2 linked regions of the Xenopus tropicalis genome follow. The protein of the gene in region 2 interacts with the protein of the main gene of each other region in a pairwise test. Links are inferred from orthologs where the notes say so. Each region holds a gene or a part of one and is shown on either strand. Other genes may lie near its edges.

Evidence for each region.
Region 1: the proteins of srf (region 2) and elk4 interact in a two-hybrid assay, tested with the Homo sapiens proteins (2 studies listed by BioGRID and IntAct). The link is inferred for Xenopus tropicalis from reciprocal best matches to the Homo sapiens genes SRF and ELK4.

What each region holds. Positions count from the first base shown.
Region 1 is NC_030678.2:73,347,857-73,354,950, forward strand, and holds the end of elk4 (ETS domain-containing protein Elk-4), read right to left. Parts: coding exon 6,718-7,094; intron 3,707-6,717; coding exon 3,590-3,706; intron 3,011-3,589; coding exon 2,912-3,010; 3' UTR 2,119-2,911; downstream 1-2,118. UniProt on the Homo sapiens protein: Involved in both transcriptional activation and repression. Interaction with SIRT7 leads to recruitment and stabilization of SIRT7 at promoters, followed by deacetylation of histone H3 at 'Lys-18' (H3K18Ac) and subsequent transcription repression.
Region 2 is NC_030681.2:1,166,918-1,175,259, forward strand, and holds the start of srf (serum response factor), read right to left. Parts: upstream 4,515-8,342; 5' UTR 3,482-4,514; exon of another isoform or gene 3,402-3,481; 5' UTR 3,168-3,401; coding exon 2,790-3,167; intron 1-2,789. Other genes in the region: retinitis pigmentosa 1-like 1 protein, read right to left, coding at 8,310-8,342. UniProt on the Homo sapiens protein: SRF is a transcription factor that binds to the serum response element (SRE), a short sequence of dyad symmetry located 300 bp to the 5' of the site of transcription initiation of some genes (such as FOS).

The sequences.
Region 1 (7,094 bases), on a different chromosome or scaffold from region 2:
TGGTTTAGAACAATGCATTAAAAAAAGAGAATATTATATTAAAATGTAAGCTATTATACAAAAATGTACATTAATGTCTTTGGAAAAGATAAGGAGTGAACTCTGCACATTAACTTATAGGGAAAGGGACACATTCCAGTTTTAAAAAGAAAGTGTCACTATGCCTACATAAGGCTACTCATCGAAAATCACTTCTATAAAAGGCGCCCCCCTACCTTCCCATTATTAACCTGTGTCCAGCATCAAGCTGAGCAAATTGTGATTCACAACTGGCTTGGGAGCAGGCAAAGTCCCCATAGGCTGGAGACAAGGCCCCAAGACACCTGGGTCTACACTCTGTCCTCCAAAGCAAACACTAACTCTAAAAGTTTGCTCTGTTTAAAGCTGTTGAAGCTCAAACTAGAACATGTCTCAAAAACTGCAATGAGTTGCTACCTACATACACAGTTACCAGAGATCTTTAAAGGGGTTCTGTCACGGAAAATTATGTTTTTTTACAAAAATAGTTTCCAGAATCAGAATCCTGCATTAAAATTCATTTTTCAAAAAAGCAAAAACAATTTTTTTTTCAGTATTTAGTTTTAAAATATTATGTGGGGCTAGACATATTCTTAGTTTCCCAGGTACCCTCAACCACGTGACAAGTTGGAGTTATTTCATCCCCTGCTTTCCCCCACAGCAGGCTATCAACAGAACAATGGGCAAGTAACCAGATAAGAGCTTCCGGACACCTGCTTTGCTAAAAATGATCCCATGCCCCACCAAGTGGTAGATATGAGAATAGCACTCAATAGTAAAAAACATGCTGGGCCACAATTTAATTGTAATTTAGTAATAAAAAACACACATTAAAAATATGACAGAATCCCTTTAAGTGACCTTTAAGTGTGGTTGGTCCCTTCATTGGTGCAGATGGGACTGCACATGCTCCATGGGATCTAGACTGCTCTAGGTGGTTACTGGCTGTTTGGTAATATCAGCAACTTAGGGCCAGATGAATAAATGGGAGTATTCAGGGAACAAGCAAGGAAGTTTAATTCTTCACAGTCTCAGATCTTGTTTCTTCAGGACTTCCATTTGGAAAATTACCGCAGATGCTTTACCCCTTCAATGCCAAGGTTCTTTGCTCATGTCACTACCCATGCTGCCAGCAAACATGTTGGACAGGCCAAAACAGAATGCAGAAACACAAATTTGACAGCCTTGCATTCAGGTTTTACCCCTTCAATGGGGCACACTAAGCTTTAGGGGGTTATACGAGGGACATGGTTTTCATATCAGATTTGGAAGCTTTAACTTCTAGGAAAAGGTATGTGAACAACTGCCCCTGCTAACAGCGTTACTAGAAGCTCAATAAAACATTTACTGAAATATAAAAAAAAAAATAAAAAAATATTATACATGTTATGTTAAAAAAGCTGTAATTAGCAATTGCTGCTCAGTTAATTCAAAAAGGAATGCAATGCTTATAGACAGCAGTTCAAGTACCCAGCTAAAATATACAACACAAACTAATTCTTTTCCAAATATATTCTGCCGGGCTTATGCTCCTAGTACTTTTAAGAAACAGAAATGAATGTATTGCAAGGAGTCAAAAAACAGAATAGGTTTGCCAGTAAGTGGTGCTCCTCTTTTATGCTAAACAAGAGATGTCACCAGTATAGATCTGGCCAAAGGAAAGCAGTAAAATGGAGGCCAGCCGCATTTGAGACCCAATCATACTCAATAATCGCATTCAAAATAAAGTCACAGTAAACAAACACGTGACTGATATTACATATTGGTCCTATGTAAGAGGCTGTACATAATCACATGAGCCAGATTTTATCTTTCCACAAGCAGAAAGCCATTTTCTCAAAATCAAAGTTCCTAGCCATACAAAGTCATCAGTAAAAGTGCAAACCTTTAACTGGGATATAAACAATATTTCCAATATATAACTTTACATTTGTATGTATTTTAAAATCTATCCAAAACACTGCTTCATCGTAGGATATATAGAGCTCCTAATTCCAACTTTTTGCATTGTATCTTACCACCACAAGTATATATACCCATGGATCAGATAAGGCAAATTAGTGCTAACTGCTTTTGATGATTTCCACCATTTTTGAGATATATTGAATGTAACAGTTGGTTTATGTGAGAGCCATTTAAGAGTTTTTCTTAAACCATCTAATGACAAAATGTATGATTTTATTTAACCATATATATTTTTGTATATACAATAAAATAATTCCGGACTTGGAGATACTGCACTATTAAGAATTGCACTAGATGCCTGTTTTGTGGCTACAGTTAAGTTAGATCATAGCCAGCTGGGCAACATTACTAGGATTTTAGGTGGCAGTACAAACATGGCTGACATGGCTCTTGAGTATAGCATAAGTCCACTGTTTCCCTTTGGCCTATTACAGTATATGTTTAAGTGCTTTAGATTCTCTTAAAAAAAATGAAAATTGAACAGTACCTCCACCTGAGTCAAAATGGACCTTGACTGATCCTTGAATTATGCTTGAGGTGTTTCAATTCTTCAAAGGTTCCAACTTGTTCCAAACTGCATCCTTCTCCTGGTAAACAGGTTTATTAAAAGGCAAAAAACAGCTAAGGAGTTTTATTATTTAACCAAAAGTAACTGATCTGATGAAGAAATTAAAAACTAGTCAGGACAACAAGGCAGTAGGCTCCTACTGACTTTGTGTTGTCACCTGATTCATAGTTGACTTTTTTTCCAAGTGCAATTGATCTCGATAACATTTTCAGCAACATGGTGTCCCTAAATTCAGTACGATTCTTTTTCTACTTGTGGCAACTGATATTTACTACTTTATGAATATATAACTTTTTCTTTTTCTAGTACATCCCACCCTACATGTTTTTTCATGTTTGCTCTGATATTACAAGGTTTCTGCTAGGACTTCTGAAGATCAGGAGAAAAAGGTCCAGGTGTGGTTGGGCTGTCGAAACTTGATAAGGTGAACGGCATGTGGCTGTTATACACAGATGGAAACTAAATAGGAAAATAAATGTCAGATGCTGCAATACAATCCATAAAGCAGACACAACAGGCAAAATTCCTGTCCAACATTATTTGGTTTCTTTAGAAACTCATTCACACATGCATAGGCCATGCAGCTGGGACCTTTAAATGTGCTGGCTGGCTCCTACTAAGTAAAGAAGGCATTACAATGGTAATCTGAATATATTGCAACATCATACATGAATGCATTATCAATCAGCCTCAGTACAGTTTTAACACATTTGGGGTTGTTTTGTCTAAGAAGTGCAGAATTGCTTGTCCTTTCAATACATAAATTACATCTGTCTATTAAATTTAGAGGGGATCAAAACCATGTTTCTCTCTAAAATGTAGAAAGAAAGCAATCCTGCGTGACTGCAATGCAGGTGCATAGAAAGTGCTGATAAAACTGACTATAACTGATAATATCTCGAATCCACTAAAATCAGGAAATTAATGTAAATTGCAAAAGTGTTCAGATGACCACTCTGATTAAATTTACATAAATCATTTTGTGAGGGTTAGAACCCCTTACTATTGTGGATGCAACCTGAATCATTGATCACCTACCTGAAACAGAGTGCTTGCTCCATGTAATCTGGCAGGGCTATGAGGGGCCACTGGACTCAGTGTGCTCCAGAAGTGTATGCTGGACAACAAGGGGCTAGGGGTCAGCAGAATAGGAGTCTGAAACAGTAACAAGTCAATGTTAGTTACATTTAATAGCCACCACCGATTGGATGGCATACGCGGTGCAGCGATTTGCCGAAGTTGCCTTGAGAGGAAACTTCGGGGATTTCGGTGCTACATATGCCATCCCACCACCGATTTACATTCTAGCCAGTGGGATGGCATTTCGGGGACATTAGTCGCCCGACGACTAATCTGCTCCTCTGTCACAGCCCTAAAATGAATAATATGAACATGCCGATTAAAAATAGATTATTGCAATTAGTACTTTTGTGATGACAAGGCTTTTGGTTATCTTGAAAACCAGCTGTTTGTGTCAACTGACTAAACAGATAACTAGAAACACTGCACTAGGCATTATTAGGCATCCAGATAAGGCAACAGTGATCAAAACTTGACACCTATCTGACTTTTTATTAGTTACTCTGTTTTCTTTATATTTGAAAATCAATAAAAATCATAAAAAAAAACAAAACACGATACCATAAAAAATGATAAAATGATAAAATAGATTATGTTTAATCAGCTCAGAAAAACTCTATCTATTGCATGTCACGATACACAAAATTTACTGAGGCAGTAAATGGCTTCATTTTGCTCCTGGTGTTCTTTATGTCCAGTGTTACTAGGCATTTAAGAGCTATTTAGCAGCCCTTCAGATGGCCATACATTATAAGATTTGCTCGTCTGGCCAGGCCGTCAAACAAGCAGATCTTTCCCCATTATGCCCACCTAAGGTGGGCGATATCAGGCTTAAACAATGGTTTGGCTCTAACGACAAAAATAGAAGTGGTCTGAGCAGTGGCCCGCCCACTGCCAACACCCATCGATCCCCCCCACCGGTGCATGCGCACACAGAGCGGCGGGAGGTTACATGGGCCGCTGCACAATTGAGGGAAAGGGTCCGGAACTGGTGGTACCTTGTCACCTACCCCTAGTTCCGGCTTTGGGTCCGAGTGAGGACTGCATCAATGAGCTGACGCAGCCCCCGATACAACTAAAAAATCAAACTTGCCCGACATCTGGAGGATTTTGGCCAGCTGCCAAATCAGTCTAAAGGACTCCAATATGCAGCTTAAATCTGCCTGTGTATGGCAACCTTTAGGCACAACTAGAGGAAAACACTAGTATGCCTGCCAGTTGGCATATGGCAACCATTTTATATTGTTTTGCTTTTTTTTTTTATATTAGTTTTTATTTGTTTTTATTCTCCCCTCTCTCTCTGCTTGTAATGATGACAGACTGTTTATACAGAGGTAATAAGCTCGGTGTGTCTGGGTTTCAGATAAAAAATAACTAATCTGTGAACTGGTAATTTGCTTAACTAGCTTTTCCTACTCTCACAGTTGCTATGAGTACCTAATGAAACTATGAGTATATGAATAAACTTACATATACATGAGTGTAATGCCACCCAGTGAAAGAATCAAAAATCCTTCTTGTAGCCAAAGTAAGGCCACTAAAAAAGTGTGGATGTACCAGAAAGAATAAGTCATATAATGCAATACTTGTGCCTTTTGGCCCACACTGATTTCTATTTTTGGTTTCACAATTTATATGATTCCGATTGACCTATCTTTATACACAAGCCAATAATCCAATCCATTTGGTGTTCATGAGAAATCGTTGTTACATAATAAACACACTGCCTGCTTATATCTGCTTTGTGTTGCTGGTAGTATTATCTTTTATAAAATGGGTCTTCTGAGGGCAAATTATAATGCTTTACAAATATTTAGAAGACATAGTCAGATAGCGGGGACCTATTTTTGCACAAAAAAAAAAGGAAACAAGGGACAAACCGCCCTTTTACTCAAAAATACAGAACTCTGGGTACTCTGGGTTTTCTCCCACTCTCCAATAACATACAGGCATGTTAACTGGCTATTGATTACATTGGGCCATGTGTGTGAATGGGATAGGAACCGAGGATTAGAAAAGTTCTGCTAGGGCAGGGACTGATGTTATTGACATAAAATTTCTGTAAAGCACTACATAAATGTGTGTGGCTTTATATAAATAATAGATAAAAAATAAAATAATAGTCCTGATAATGCTTTGGCCACCACAAATTAAGAAACGGTGCTCTACTGAATATGATGAAAGGAGAATAGCAAAAGAAGGAGAGCAACCCAGTAACTGCATTGTTAAGATGCCTAAAATAACACAACAATTAAACCACACACAGAGATTGCATTGTACTGTAAATTACATATTATTGTTATTTCGGCTCAGGTACCTCTGCATACACATTCAATTCTGTTTATCTTGATGAATATATATATATATATATATATATATATATATATATATATATATATAGGAACAGAGTGCTGCACACACGGGGACTTAGGAAAAAGCAAAAACGTGTTTATTGGAAAAGATCTGACGTTTCGAGCACTTACTGTGCTCTTCCTCAGGGACAAAATTGTTGTATGCACATCTTGACTTGCATTTGAAGTTTACTCATGCAGAAATAATAAGCTAAGAGAAGCCAGATGCAACAACGTAAACTTGCAAGGTAGAATCATGCTTTTCTGTATTAAACTGGTTTCAGTAAATTTGTTACACTCACCTAGTAACCTATTTTTCTTGTCCTACGCCTTGCACACTGTGCTTAGTTTTTGCCCCAATCATATGGCTGTCGATAGTTGTCTGACAAGAACTATACCCCCGAGCGCAAAAAGCACTCTTAAACATGTTGGTACCCCCAAGTGACTTAGCCTTTTGTTCTCCATTAACTATCATTGCCTAGACCCCCCCCCCCACCTCTCCCTTATCGCAAAGTTTACACCTTGTTCCTATCGCTAACCAATAACATCTTCTTACCAACTGAAGACAACTCTCCGCCAATACAAACCTGCTTGGTCCGTGTCTGAAATAGTTGTGGAATCAGATTGTTACAAAAAATAAATAAAAACAATATTAAAAAAAAATTCTGAATTAGTTATACTTAATCTCTAAATCTTATTGTTTGATAGCAACATTTCAAGAAACTGCCCACTTACCTGGGAAAAAAATGCAGGTGTTAGAGAAGCTGTCCCCAGTGAAGGGCTAAGGATTCCCAGAGGGTTGGAATCACTTGTGGTGATAACCACAGTGGGAGCCAACTCAAGCCCCTTTGGCTTTTTTGACTTTGAGGTGCTTTTTACATCGAGTACATAGGTTTCCTGCTCAAGTTCCTGTTCAGGTTCTGGATCTGGATCATCAATGGAAACATCATGCGAAAAATCCAGAGATTGAGAAGTTTCAGATTCCAGTTGAGCATTAACCTCAATTTCTACTGCTGGTGATGTTGAATCTGTGGGCTCGGAAACTGAAGAGACAAGGGGTGATATCGTGGATTTTACAGGAATTTCTGGTAGAGGCTCTGCTGGTTTCTCAT
Region 2 (8,342 bases):
TGTCCCTATCCCATTCCCATCAGCCCCTGCCCCAGTGAGCTTACAATCTAAGGTCCCTATCACATTCCCATCAGTCCCTGCCCCAGTGAGCTTACAGTCTAAGGTCCCTATTCCATTCCCATCAGTCCCTGCCCCAGTGAGCTTACAATCTAAGGTCCCTATTCCATTCCCATCAGTCCCTGCCCCAGTAAGCTTACAATCTAAGGTCCCTATCACATTCCCATCAGTCCCTGCCCCAGTGAGCTAACAATCTAAGGTCCCTATCACATTCCCATCAGTCCCTGCCCCAGTGAGCTTACACTCTAAGGTCCCTATTCCATTCCCATCAGTCCCTGCCCCAGTGAGCTAACAATCTAAGGTCCCTATCCCATTCCCATCAGACCCTGCCCCAGTGAGCTTACAATCTAAGGTCCCTATCACATTCCCATCAGTCCCTGCCCCAGTGAGCTTACAATCTAATGTCCCTATCCCATCAGTCCCTGCCCCAGTGAGCTTACAATCTAATGTCCCTATCCCATCAGTCCCTGTCCCAGTGAGCTTACAATCTAAGGTCCCTATCCCATTCCCATCAGTCCCTGCCCCAGTGAGCTTACAATCTAAGGTCCCTATCCCATTCCCATCAGTCCCTGCCCCAGTGAGCTTACAATCTAATGTCCCTATCCCATTCCCATCAGTCCCTGCCCTAGTGAGCTTACAATCTAATGTCCCTATCCCATCAGCCCCTGCCCCAGTGAGCTTACAATCTAATGTCACTATCCCATTCCCATCAGCCCCTGCCCCAGTGAGCTTACAATCTAAGGTCCCTATCCCATTCCCATCAGCCCCTGCCCCAGTGAGCTTACAATCTAATGTCCCTATCCCATTCCCATCAGTCCCTGCCCTAGTGAGCTTACAATCTAATGTACCTATTCCATTCCCATCAGTCCCTGCCCTAGTGAGCTTACAATCTAATGTCCCTATCCCATCAGTCCCTGTCCCAGTGAGCTTACAATCTAATGTCACTATCCCATTCCCATCAGCCCCTGCCCCAGTGAGCTTACAATCTAAGGTCCCTATCCCATTCCCATCAGTCCCTGCCCCAGTGAGCTTACAATCTAATGTCCCTATCCCATTCCCATCAGTCCCTGCCCCAGTGAGCTTACAATCTAATGTCCCTATCCCATCAGTCCCTGTCCCAGTGAGCTTACAATCTAATGTCACTATCCCATTCCCATCAGCCCCTGCCCCAGTGAGCTTACAATCTAAGGTCCCTATCCCATTCCCATCAGCCCCTGCCCCAGTGAGCTTACAATCTAAGGTCCCTATCCCATTCCCATCAGCCCCTGCCCCAGTGAGCTTACAATCTAAGGTCCCTATCACATTCCCATCAGTCCCTGCCCCAGTGAGCTTACAATCTAAGGTCCCTATCCCATTCCCATCAGTCCCTGCCCCAGTGAGCTTACAATCTAAGGTCCCTATCCCATTCCCATCAGTCCCTGCCCCAGTGAGCTTACAATCTAAGGTCCCTATCCCATTCCCCTCAGTCCCTGCCCCAGTGAGCTTACAATCTAAGGTCCCTATCCCATTCCCATCAGTCCCTGCCCCAGTGAGCTTACAATCTAAGGCCCCTATCCCATTTCCCTCAGTCCCTGCCCCAGTGAGCTTACAATCTAAGGCCCCTATCCCATTCCCATCAGTCCCTGCCCCAGTGAGCTTACAATCTAAGGCCCCTATCCCATTCCCATCAGCCCCTGCCCCAGTGAGCTTACAATCTAAGGTCCCTATCACATTCCCATCAGTCCCTGCCCCAGTGAGCATACAATCTAAGGTCCCTATCCCATTCCCATCAGTCCCTGCCCCAGTGAGCTTACAATCTAAGGTCCCTATCCCATTCCCATCAGTCCCCTGCCCCAGTGAGCTTACAATCTAAGGTCCCTATCCCATTCCCATCAGTCCCTGCCCCAGTGAGCATACAATCTAAGGTCCCTATCCCATTCCCATCAGTCCCTGCCCCAGTGAGCTTACAATCTAAGGTCCCTATCCCATTCCCATCAGTCCCTGCCCCAGTGAGCTTACAATCTAAGGTCCCTATCACATTCCCATCAGTCCCTGCCCCAGTGAGCTTACAATCTAAGGTCCCTATCCCATTCCCATCAGTCCCTGCCCCAGTGAGCTTACAATCTAAGGTCCCTATCCCATTCCCCTCAGTCCCTGCCCCAGTGAGCTTACAATCTAAGGCCCCTATCCCATTTCCCTCAGTCCCTGCCCCAGTGAGCTTACAATCTAAGGCCCCTATCCCATTCCCATCAGTCCCTGCCCCAGTGAGCTTACAATCTAAGGCCCCTATCCCATTCCCATCAGCCCCTGCCCCAGTGAGCTTACAATCTAAGGTCCCTATCACATTCCCATCAGTCCCTGCCCCAGTGAGCATACAATCTAAGGTCCCTATCCCATTCCCATCAGTCCCTGCCCCAGTGAGCTTACAATCTAAGGTCCCTATCCCATTCCCATCAGTCCCTGCCCCAGTGAGCTTACAATCTAAGGTCCCTATCACATTCCCATCAGTCCCTGCCCCAGTGAGCTTACAATCTAAGGTCCCTATCCCATTCCCATCAGTCCCTGCCCCAGTGAGCTTACAATCTAAGGTCCCTATCCCATTCCCATCAGTCCCTGCCCCAGTGAGCTAACAATCTAAGGTCCCTATCCCATTCCCATCAGCCCCTGCCCCAGTGAGCTAACAATCTAAGTTCCCTATGCCCGATATACCCTAGCTGTTTGTACTTTTGCCCCAGATGCCCCGGGGTACTTACCTTCTTCATGATGCCAGTTTTGCGCTTGCTGAAGGTCGTGTAGCGCCGCAGTTTGTTATCGATGAATTCCATCTTAATCTTCACTCGGCCGCGGGTTTTCTTGCCAGGTTTTGCCCCTGACACCGTGCCACTGGCCCCCGGGTACCCCACACCGCCGGCTGCACCCCCTTGTTCCGGCAGCTCAAGCTCGTTGAGCCCCCGCTTTAACCCCCGCCCAGGAGGATCCTCCTCTTCCCCCGAGTCTGAGCTCCCAGAGCTGCCGCTGTATTGGACCCCGGGGCCCCTAACCCCTGGGCAACCAGCCCCATTGCCTGCCCTGCGGGCCAACCCCAGCCCCCGGCCTGACCCCACCACCCCGGCCTGGCTACTGGGCAACATCCCTAGGGGGCATGGGGGGGTGCCCCACTCTTATACCACTTCCTGGGATAAAACCTACTAATCTGCCCTTCCTTGGGGCAAAACCCGCCTATAATAGGTATAACTAACCTACCCTCCTGGGGTAATGCCTACTAGCAATCTGCCCGGGGTACAAACTTAAATGCCCCACCTGAGCTCCTCAGTGCCCCTTGCCTGGGCAAAGCAAACACTGCTCCCTGGGGCTAATACGGATACCTGCCCCCCCGGACTCTCTCCCTGGGGCTAATACGGATACCTGCCCCCCCGGACTCTCTCCCTGGGGCTAATACGGATACCTGCCCCCCCCGGACTCTCTCCCTGGGGCTAATACGGATACCTGCCCCCCCGGACTCTCTCCCTGGGGCTAATACGGATACCTGCCCCCCCGGACTCTCTCCCTGGGGCTAATACGGATACCTGCCCCCCCCGGACTCTCTCCCTGGGGCTAATACGGATACCTGCCCCCCCCGGACTCTCTCCCTGGGGCTAATACGGATACCTGCCCCCCCGGACTCTCTCCCTGGGGCAAATACGGATACCTGCCCTCCCCGGACTCTCTCCCTGGGGCTAATACGGATACCTGCCCCCCCGGACTCTCTCCCTGGGGCAAATACGGATACCTGCCCCCCCGGACTCTCTCCCTGGGGCTAATACGGATACCTGCCCCCCCGGACTCTCTCCCTGGGGCTAATACGGATACCTGCCCCCCCGGACTCTCTCCCTGGGGCAAATACGGATACCTGCCCCCCCGGACTCTGTCCCTGGGGCTAATACGGATACCTGCCCCCCCGGACTCTCTCCCTGGGGCTAATACGGATACCTGCCCCCCCGGACTCTCTCCCTGGGGCTAATACGGATACCTGCCCCCCCGGACTCTCTCCCTGGGGCTAATACGGATACCTGCCCCCCCGTCTCTCTCCCTGGGGCTAATACGGATACCTGCCCCCCCGGACTCTCTCCCTGGGGCTAATACGGATACCTGCCCCCCCGGACTCTCTCCCTGGGGCTAATACGGATACCTGCCCCCCCGGACTCTCTCCCTGGGGCTAATACGGATACCTGCCCCCCCGGACTCTCTCGCTGTCGGACTGTTGGTTCCGGCCCGGGCCGCACTCCCTCTCCCTGACCGGCCTGTCTGGCTGTGGCTTCCCCGCTCTCCCTGCTCCAACCAATCACATCCCGAGCCGCATCACACTCACACACTCGGTTCCCACCGCCAGAGCGTGTAAATGAGATCCTTGCGCGCCCCTTGCCGGAACTAATTCCCATTAAATATGGTTTGGGCGGAAGGGTACATGAGCCGGAGTGGCGCTGAGGGACTATTTTCTCCCTTATAAAGCGTTACAATGTTTCCTTTTATGGAAAAGCCTCTCCTTATATGGTGAGTCACCGCGCTTCGCTCCCATTGGCCCGGGGCCCGGACACAGCGCTTCCCTGATTGGGTGGAAGGGGGAAAGCGAGGCGGGGCCTGTTACGTCCATTTAGAGCGAACCCGAGTCACGTGGGAGGTTAGAGATCAGCTGTTCCCTCAGTAGGTACCGCCCCCTGATGTGTCCGAACAGCTGAGCGCAGGGGCTTGTGGGAAAGTGTCCGGGCCCTGGGGTCTCCTCCCCTTTACTATCTGGCGCATAGAGCATTATGGGTAATGTAGTAGCATTATGGGTAATGTAGTAGCATTATGGGTAATGTAGTAGCATTATGGGTAATGTAGTAGCATTATGGGTAATGTAGTGCGTCTGAACTTCCCTTTCCCCAGTGAGTCCGCTGTAACCCCTTATAGATACTGGGGCCCCTCTCTCCCCTTATAGATACTGGGGCCCCTCTCTCCCCTTATAGATACTGGGGCCCCTCTCTCCCCTTATAGATACTGGGGCCCCTCTCTCCCCTTATAGATACTGGGGCCCCTCTCTCCCCTTATAGATACTGGGGCCCCTCTCTCCCCTTATAGATACTGGGGCCCCTCTCTCCCCTTATAGATACTGGGGCCCCTCTCTCCCCTTATAGATACTGGGGCCCCTCTCCCCTTATAGATACTGGGGCCCCTCTCCCCCCTTATAGATACTGGGGCCCCTCTCTCCCCTTATAGATACTGGGGCCCCTCTCTCCCCTTATAGATACTGGGGCCCCTCTCCCCTTATAGATACTGGGGCCCCTCTCCCCCCTTATAGATACTGGGGCCCCTCTCTCCCCTTATAGATACTGGGGCCCCTCTCCCCCCTTATAGATACTGGGGCCCCTCTCCCCCCTTATAGATACTGGCGCTCCTCTCCCCCCTTATAGATACTGGGGCCCCTCTCCCCCCTTATAGATACTGGGGCCCCTCTCTCCCCTTATAGATACTGGGGCCCCTCTCTCCCCTTATAGATACTGGGGCCCCTCTCCCCTTATAGATACTGGGGCCCCTCTCCCCCCTTATAGATACTGGGGCCCCTCTCTCCCCTTATAGATACTGGGGCCCCTCTCTCCCCTTATAGATACTGGGCCCCTCACGCGCAGCCCTTAGTTACTGGGCCCCTCACGCGCAGCCCTTAGTTACTGGGCCCCTCACGCGCAGCCCTTAGTTGCTGGGCCCCTCACGCGCAGCCCTTAGTTGCTGGGCCCCTCACGCGCAGCCCTTAGTTACTGGGCCCCTCACGCGCAGCCCTTAGTTACTGGGCCCCTCACGCGCAGCCCTTAGTTACTGGGCCCCTCACGCGCAGCCCTTAGTTGCTGGGCCCCTCACGCGCAGCCCTTAGTTGCTGGGCCCCTCACGCGCAGCCCTTAGTTGCTGGGCCCCTCACGCGCAGCCCTTAGTTGCTGGGCCCTCACGCGCAGCCCTTAGTTACTGGGCCCCTCACGCGCAGCCTTTAGTTACTGGGCCCCTCACGCGCAGCCCTTAGTTACTGGGCCCCTCACGCGCAGCCCTTAGTTGCTGGGCCCCTCACGCGCAGCCCTTAGTTGCTGGGCCCCTCACGCGCAGCCCTTAGTTGCTGGGCCCCTCACGCGCAGCCCTTAGTTGCTGGGCCCCTCACGCGCAGCCCTTAGTTACTGGGCCCCTCACGCGCAGCCCTTAGTTGCTGGGCCCCTCACACACAGCCCTTAGTTGCTGGGCCCCTCACACACAGCCCTTAGTTGCTGTTCCCCTCACGCGCAGCCCTTAGTTACTGGGCCCCTCACGCGCAGCCCTTAGTTACTGGGCCCCTCACGCGCAGCCCTTAGTTACTGGGCCCCTCACGCGCAGCCCTTAGTTACTGGGCCCCTCACGCGCAGCCCTTAGTTGCTGGGCCCCTCACGCGCAGCCCTTAGTTGCTGGGCCCCTCACGCGCAGCCCTTAGTTGCTGGGCCCCTCACGCGCAGCCCTTAGTTGCTGGGCCCCTCACGCGCAGCCCTTAGTTGCTGGGCCCCTCACGCGCAGCCCTTAGTTGCTGGGCCCCTCACGCGCAGCCCTTAGTTGCTGGGCCCCTCACGCGCAGCCCTTAGTTGCTGGGCCCCTCACGCGCAGCCCTTAGTTGCTGGGCCCCTCACGCGCAGCCCTTAGTTGCTGGGCCCCTCACGCGCAGCCCTTAGTTGCTGGGCCCCTCACGCGCAGCCCTTAGTTGCTGGGCCCCTCACGCGCAGCCCTTAGTTGCTGGGCCCCTCACGCGCAGCCCTTAGTTGCTGGGCCCCTCACGCGCAGCCCTTAGTTACTGGGCCCCTCACGCGCAGCCCTTAGTTACTGGGCCCCTCACGCGCAGCCCTTAGTTACTGGGCCCCTCACGCGCAGCCCTTAGTTGCTGGGCCCCTCACGCGCAGCCCTTAGTTGCTGGGCCCCTCACACACAGCCCTTAGTTGCTGGGCCCCTCACGCGCAGCCCTTAGTTACTGGGCCCCTCACGCGCAGCCCTTAGTTACTGGGCCCCTCACGCGCAGCCCTTAGTTACTGGGCCCCTCACGCGCAGCCCTTAGTTACTGGGCCCCTCACGCGCAGCCCTTAGTTGCTGGGCCCCTCACGCGCAGCCCTTAGTTGCTGGGCCCCTCACACACAGCCCTTAGTTGCTGGGCCCCTCACGCGCAGCCCTTAGTTACTGGGCCCCTCACGCGCAGCCCTTAGTTGCTGGGCCCCTCACGCGCAGCCCTTAGTTGCTGGGCCCCTCACGCGCAGCCCTTAGTTACTGGGCCCCTCACGCGCAGCCCTTAGTTACTGGGCCCCTCACGCGCAGCCCTTAGTTACTGGGCCCCTCACGCGCAGCCCTTAGTTACTGGGCCCCTCACGCGCAGCCCTTAGTTGCTGGGCCCCTCACGCGCAGCCCTTAGTTGCTGGGCCCCTCACACACAGCCCTTAGTTGCTGGGCCCCTCACGCGCAGCCCTTAGTTACTGGGCCCCTCACGCGCAGCCCTTAGTTGCTGGGCCCCTCACGCGCAGCCCTTAGTTGCTGGGCCCCTCACACACAGCCCTTAGTTGCTGGGCCCCTCACGCGCAGCCCTTAGTTACTGGGCCCCTCACGCGCAGCCCTTAGTTACTGGGCCCCTCACGCGCAGCCCTTAGTTACTGGGCCCCTCACGCGCAGCCTTTAGTTACTGGGCCCCTCACGCGCAGCCCTTAGTTACTGTTCCCCTCACACACAGCCCTTAGTTACTGGGCCCCTCACGCGCAGCCCTTAGTTACTGGGCCCCTCACGCGCAGCCTTTAGTTACTGGGCCCCTCACGCGCAGCCCTTAGTTACTGGGCCCCTCACGCGCAGCCCTTAGTTACTGGGCCCCTCACGCGCAGCCCTTAGTTACTGGGCCCCTCACGCGCAGCCCTTAGTTGCTGTTCCCCTCACACACAGTAGGGGGCAGCCGTTGGTGCAGTTTCCCAAACAGTTTGCAGAGTCACTGAGCAAAAGTCTTTAGTTCCCGGGGGGGGGGGTTCATATTGACAGAATAGGGGTACACTGTGCATCACATAACAAGATAGATGTAAGATTAAAAGAACCCACAGGATCTAAGAGGGATATTTCAGGGGTTCGGCCGTCATTAACCCTCTCTCCTCCATATGGGCGACCCTGTAATGTCACAGTTCTGGCCTCCAGGACAATAAAGGGGCCTTCCAGGGAGAAGGGAACAATCCCAGGTGGTACAGTCTGTATTCCCCCCCCCCAAGCAGTCAGGCCAAGGTGACTTATCTTCAAGTGACCCCAATGACCAGTGGACCCCAAAG